Rattus norvegicus: one gene and its partner. The protein of the gene in region 2 binds, or shares a complex with, the protein of the main gene of each other region. Links are inferred from orthologs where the notes say so. Each region holds a gene or a part of one and is shown on either strand. Other genes may lie near its edges.

The links.
Region 1: Ppp4r3b (region 2) and Ppp4c share a complex: the UniProt entries of both Homo sapiens proteins name them as parts of the PP4 complex. The link is inferred for Rattus norvegicus from reciprocal best matches to the Homo sapiens genes PPP4R3B and PPP4C.

The regions. Positions count from the first base shown.
Region 1 is NC_086019.1:190,824,879-190,827,350, forward strand, and holds part of Ppp4c (serine/threonine-protein phosphatase 4 catalytic subunit), read right to left. Parts: intron 1,853-2,472; exon of another isoform or gene 1,794-1,852; coding exon 1,742-1,793; intron 1,210-1,741; coding exon 1,159-1,209; intron 993-1,158; coding exon 891-992; intron 371-890; coding exon 197-370; intron 96-196; coding exon 1-95. UniProt on the Homo sapiens protein: Protein phosphatase that is involved in many processes such as microtubule organization at centrosomes, maturation of spliceosomal snRNPs, apoptosis, DNA repair, tumor necrosis factor (TNF)-alpha signaling, activation of c-Jun N-terminal kinase MAPK8, regulation of histone acetylation, DNA damage checkpoint signaling, NF-kappa-B activation and cell migration.
Region 2 is NC_086032.1:107,116,641-107,121,038, reverse strand, and holds the start of Ppp4r3b (serine/threonine-protein phosphatase 4 regulatory subunit 3B), read right to left. Parts: upstream 2,907-4,398; 5' UTR 2,560-2,906; coding exon 2,418-2,559; intron 1,331-2,417; coding exon 1,275-1,330; intron 1-1,274. UniProt on the Homo sapiens protein: Regulatory subunit of serine/threonine-protein phosphatase 4 (PP4). May regulate the activity of PPP4C at centrosomal microtubule organizing centers.

The DNA of each region.
Region 1 (2,472 bases), on a different chromosome or scaffold from region 2:
GGTCCATCATGGGGTACCTCTTGCTTTCGGTCAATTGTCCGGATCTGGTCCAAGGTCTGGATAGAAGGGGAAAGACCTCCATGCACACAGAAGATCTACAAGGGAAAGTATTGTCAGATAAAGGGAGGTGGAAGCCCAGAGACCCACCACTGACCCACCACTGCCCCACCCCTGAGGAGATCCACAGCCAACCTACCTTGCCATCAATGATGGCAGACAGGCTGAGGTAGTCAAAGATCTCAGTACAGTAGCGCCATACAGTCACTGAACCATATTTCCGTAAGCACTCATCATAGAACCCATAGACCTGGGTAATCTGGCGACTCTCATGATTGCCCCGGATCAAAGTGATTCGGTCAGGATATCGAACCTAGGGGGAGCATCAAGCCAAGGTTGGGTCTAGTCTGTTTCCCACTTAATCCCTCCCAAGTGTCCACTCATCTACCAGCCTCATTCAGCCCTCACCAGGATCTGTGTGGCCCAGACTCCTGCAGTCTCTTACATAAATCGAGACATCCCTGCCTCACAGGCTCTTGGGGACTTTTTCTAGAGATGCATTAAAAGACTAATGATTCCTCTCATCTGCCGGACTCAGACTCCATCCTTAGCACCCCATCCCCACCCCGCTGTGGCCCCTCACCAATGAATTCTCCCAGTTTACTCGGTTTCTGCTGCTTCCTGAACACACAGCCTGTCTACTTCCCAGAACTCACATCACCAGCCTCGTCCTCAAGGGCTCAGGAGACGGCCCCACTCATGACAGCAGTCTGACCAGCCCCGCTAAGCACACAGTCCACAGCCACAGCAAAGTTCCAAGGAGGTGACAGGAAAGGTGATGAGGGCAGCAAGTAGTGGCCAAGGCTCAGGTTCCAGGGGCCAAGGGTCCTCACCTTAAGAGCCAGCAGGAGGAGGAAGGTTTCAACACTGTAGAAACCACGGTCCACAAAGTCTCCCATGAAGAGGTAGTTGGTCTCAGGGACATCGCCACCTACCTGGGAGGAGGGATATGGCTCTGCTTGGCCCCAAACTATCTCCTCCCACTACAAGGCCAAAGAGCTGAGCCCCTTCAGTCACCCAAAGCCCAAGCAGCCTAAGGCCTCTCAATGATCATATCTTCTAGTCACCCCTAGTTTACAGCCCCAGTGTTCCCTAACTCACTCTGAACAGCTCCTTGAGGTCATAGAATTGTCCGTGGATGTCACCGCATACCTAGAAAAGACAAACGTGTTGTCAGAACAGACAAAGGCACAAACCCTTTGTTCCCAGAAAGCATCCTTCAAAACACCTGTTACTGTCCATGCCAGCCAAGGTTCTCTCACTCCATCTCAGGACCAAGTAAGGACCCTCCAGCCCCAGATGAACCCGTTCTGGTGTCATCCATCCATCACCCTCCCCTACTCCAGCGCAGAAGACATGTTCCCTGGGAGACTCACAGCTTCAGAAGCCTGGCTTCATCTCTGTTTGCCCACGTGCCCAGCAGAGTTATAGCACATGCTCATTGAGCCACAGACTAAATTCTTCTGCCGTGGACATGAGCATCCTACAGCATCTTTTCTTGTAGTCATGAGGCTAACCCATGGTCTCATACACAATGGGAAAGCATCCCACCACTAAGCTGCAAGTTCTGGCCACCATCTAATTCCTCCTTTGAGGCTCACCTGAAGACTGAGGAGTAGCAGAGGCCTGGGGGGGGGGGGGGGGGTTACTAGCCTCTCATCAACTTAGGACACAGAATACTCACTGTGACTGGCGAGTCCACCCTCTGCACGTTGCTCTCTTCTACCAAGATCTCTCTGGAGACAGGAGAAGACCAGGGTCACCACAGCCAGGCCAGCCCAGCCCAATTCCTGACCTTTTTTGGAGGGAGGGAGGACATGAGGTAGTCCTTGAACCTCCATGGGACAGAAGGAAGTATGCAGTGTCCCCATGATTTTGGTCAAAAAGCACTAACCTCTACCCCTCAATGCCTCAACGCCTCAACATCTGTTCATGGCTCCTTGCTGCCAACTGAACAGAGTCCAAGTTCTCAACCCCCTTCCCAAGTAAGTCCTTCCAAGCAGGCTCGGACATTTTCAGTAGAGACTCTCCCTGTGGCTCCTTCTCAAGAATACAGCACATATTCTTGAAAGGGAGGTCTCTGTCCCTCAGAACACTGAGCTCTGACCTCACTCCCTTCTCCCACACTATCCACAGTAAGGACGAGGCCTAAGGCATGATGGTCCCAGATGTACCTTCAAAGGGTTGTGCTGGTCCTTCCTTGTCAGCATTACATTTTATTTGTTTTGGAGACAGAGCCTCATTATGTATCCTTGTCTAGCCTGGATGTGTAACCCAGGCTAGTCTCAAGCTCAGGAAATTTGCCTGTCTGTCTGTCTCATGTGTACTGGGATTAAAGGATGCAGCACTGTAACCAGCATCTACAACATAAGGAATGGGCTCTGGTACAGCTTTTCTTTTTGCTACTTTGTGGGT
Region 2 (4,398 bases):
CATTAATATTTTTACTATTAATAAGCTTTACAAAAGATGTAATTTTATTTCTTCTGTGAAGTGTTTATAGCATCCAAATTCTCATGGACCTTGAAAAAAGGTAGACTTGATGCTATAAATAAGTATAAACCTAAAATAATGTCTTTCCCTTCCAAAGCCTGTCATTGTGACTTTATTTACATACACATATCACACCACACCCACACACAAAATAAACCAAATGACTCCCAGTTGTATATCATATATCAGAATACAATACAGCATTAAAAACCTCCCTAATTAACATAAATAAATCTTAAAAGAAGTGTGAAAATGCAAATTTCTAATACATGTAAAGTATGGTATCAATAGTGTAAAGTTTAAAAGCACACAAAAGACTACATATTATTTATGGATACATACATATGCAAGAAAGGTATAAAAGCATGTATACAGAATACACAGCAATTTCAGGATCAGGTTACCATAGGGAGAGAAGAGAATAGACACAATGGGACAGATACAAAGGATTTTACCTCTATCCATGTTAAACATTACAAAAGGTTGAAAATACGTTAATGTTGTTAAATCTGATGGTGTTATAATGGAGTCCATTATATTATCCTCTATACTATTTAATATTGATAGTATTTCATAATAAAAATGAAAACATTCACAGATAAGAAAGGATGATTTATGCTAACTAATTAGAAATACTAAAACAGATTTTCTTTTCCAAAGTGACAATATTAACCAGAAATGTTTCATGAATACCAATATGTATATTTTAAAGTACCCATTTATTATGTTAAAATATGCATATAATTAAAAGCAGAACTTAAACATTACTTAAAAAAAAATCCTTCTCCTTGGTCAAAGGATCCAACTTTACACCACAAACAGGCTCTCCTTTGTTTTAAAAGAATCTCTTTGAATTTTTTTCTTAATAGTAGAAACTGAACACTCTTAATCTTCTTTTAAGTCATTTCTTACAAATGGGACTCAGAACGAAAGGTTTAGTGTAGAGTATATGGAGAGACCTGGCTTACTTTAAAGACCAAAATACATCACATTGCAATACAAACAATGGCTCAATTAACAAACAACATTAAATCACCAATATAAAAAACTACTTTTCAGCTTGAGACTCTCAAACTGAAAGGAAAATACATACGGTACCTAATTTTAGTTACCAAACTTTTTTTCTTGTCTGGAAAGTATCCCCATCTTTGTCATATAAATACATCCTGGATCACAGATGAAGTCTTTCAAATTACAGATAAACAACTACTTGCCTGCTGCTTCTGATATGCAGTGTTTGGATTTATCTTTGACTCCAAGAGTAGAGATCCTGAAAGAGTTAAAAAAAAAAAAAGACTCAAATTATAAAACCTTCAACAGCACACAACTAATAAACGTTCCATGTCTCCTTGACTGAACATCTGAATACAAATGTATTTTGGTTTATTCAAGACTAACTTTAACAAAAGCTGTTTCCTGTCTAACAAAACAAATTACAAGGGCCTTGGAGAGACTTACCATACAAATTATACTTATCCTTTTCCTTTGACAATGAACAACCCCCCCACATAATGTAGAAAGAACTCTGGACTTGCTGTCTACTAAAAGGGACTCTGCACTAGTTTAAGATTTGCCAAAAATAAATCTAACATTGTTATTCTTATATTACCTGCATGTATTAGTTGCTCCAACTGAGCAGCTCTTGAGTACAGGTAGTAGTAGCCACTTTATTATGTCTGTCAGCTTTAATAATATTAAAATGGTTTCTATGAATTCTGCAATCAGCAAATACAACTTTACAGTCTGCTTTAGTATTCTAACTTGCTGAGATTGTGGAACCCGCTTTTTCACTCCCTACAATGGCAGCCTTGGAGAGATCAGAAAATAAAGATGTATGTGCCTGTGTGTTTCGTGGCAATAGTCTAACTTCAAGAAAAAGTCCGTTTTAGTTTTCCCCAGCACCTGTCGATTGGAACAACTGAAACCTGTTTTTGAGGCACTCAGAAAAGTTTCACTAAACCTTTTATAGTAGACACATTCAACCGGCAAGACTGTACCTAAAGCGGGTCGGGGATCCGTGTCAGATCTCATGGGCGAGATTCCTATCTGGTCTTCTACTATGTGGTCTTCTACTGACTCCTCACTCATCACATTCTAAATTTCAACAACCGAGCGGGGATTGGAGGGGAAAGGAGTCAAATCCTTAACAGGGAGAGAGGCGGGGAACCTCGAGTCCACGTCTGACGGAGAGTAAATCCAGGCCCAGTAGTTTGTTTTTATCGTAAGGAAGGGCAGGCTCAAGACCAATGTGCTGTCCCTAGTGGTGCTAGTCAGAATACTGGAGTCCCAGAGCTTAAACCTCAGGTTGTGTCGCAACCGATGCACTGGTCCCCATCCCACCGTTCCAATAACCTTACCGTCGGACTCTGCTCGAACCAGCAGCGACATCCCTTTGAGCTCCTCTACGTAAGTGGAGGAGACGTGCCCGGTGCCTCGGTCGTCCCATTGCCGGTCTTCGTTCAGGGTATAGACCTTCACTCGCCGCCGTGTATCCGACATAGTGGCTACTGGCCCACTGCTCCAGCCGCCACCTCCTCGCTCACCTCGCCGGTACCCCTCACTCTTGAGACCCGGTAGTGGCGGTAGCGGCGTCGGCGGTGGTGGCAGCGACTCCGGAGAGGCCTGAGTTTACCATGGCTCCAAAGGTTTAGCCGCGAGAAGGGGTGGCCAGAGCCACCGAGAACCCTCCGCTCGTGGTCTCCGCTACCCCTCCCTTTACCCCGGCGCACAATCACCTTCCCTTCCCTTTGCTCCCCAGAGCTCGCTCGCTCTCCCGCTGCCGCCGCCCGCCGCGGTTACTACTACAGATCCGCCATCTTGTAACCCGACTCTCTCTGCCTTTCTCTTCCTCTTCCAGCAGGTTCGCACGGGCTGTCCTAGCAGGGGCTACGGCGGCCGATTAGTCCAATGCATAGTACCTACGGCCAAACACGCTTCCGGAGAGTCAGACCTCAGCGATCTCGCGAGGAGTGCGGCGCCGAGGTGAGCCGGCCTAGGAGGGACTTCCTCCTCTTTCGGCCCCGCCTCCTGGCTCGGGAATCTCTGTTGGGCGGGGAAGTCTCGCGAGCTTTCCTCCCTGCTCCGCGAGAAATTGTCTGTAGAAGGTTGATGGAGCAGTGGTGTTTGTTGCTGAACTGTTTTCCGGATTTGTAGGGCGGATGTTGAATGGCGGGTTGTCAACTCTGGACTTGCTGTCAACTGACCAGAGCCAGGCTGGGAAGTCCGAATGCGTGGACAGGTCTAGGGCGAAGCCAAGTGTAGGGACTCATTCTGTCAGCCCGAAAAGGGCTGGGGGCGGGGGTTGAGGGTGTTTGAGTCTTATGTGAAGTCGAGCCCCTCACCCATTAAAATCCGTTATAGAATCTGCGAGACTTCATCCGGGAAAGTGTTCCATGGCCACGGTGAGCAGTGGGCGATCTTAATGTTCCACAAACGCGTTGACAGTTCTTATTTCCCGCCAAAGCGTTCTTCCGTTAGCCTCTTAGCACGGACCATTAAAAGGCTCGGAGAGAAACCGGCCGCAGCGACGAGGCAAGCGCAGGCGGGCAGCCTCACAGTCCTCGTGTGCCGCAAGAACGAAGGGTTCCTGGCGTTCAGTTAACGTCGCTCGCCCGAAGGCCGTGGCTCCCAGTGTAGTTCAGCTGCCTCTCCGTTCTCTTATTTGGTCCCTCAGCTCAACCACTTGAAAGATGAACATGGGGAAGGTACACACGTTGGTCCCGCGGTGTATTTTGGGAGTTGTAGTCATCTTTATGGTTGTCAAAGTGTGTTTATGTTTTGGCGAGATTAGTTAGGCGTGAACTCATCACCATACGTTTAAAGGGGTGTCTTATGCACCTAGTCGCTTGATTAAAAACGATTTCAAATTTTGATCTATCTTTGCTTTTTCAAAAATGTATAAAGGATCAAGAAAGTATAAAGGATCAAGAAAATTAGCCTGGTCTGCAGCCATTCATCTGTAAAGACTGCACATAGAAAAACAGACAGGAGCATCTCTTTGAGGACCAGGCCAGCCTATGGTATGTATCGGGATTCTGCCTATGATAAAAGGACTTGAATCACTATACATAAATCCCTGATATTCTGTGATTGATATGGACAAAATTACTTTGAGCTGGGGAAAATATAATTTGTTTTGGAAAGGTCATAGAAAGCTTTCCACTGTGTTTTAGTCCAATGTTAGAGGACAATCCAAGGATTATTTCTAAGCATCCTTTTCAATGTCCACCTTAAAGGAGAAAAGAACTTTAGCTAGAGCACTGGACAGATCCTGGAAGCCCACTTAGCCTTTAGGACAGAAGTTTCAGATGCCTAGAGCATTCTCTGTGGAGATACTGT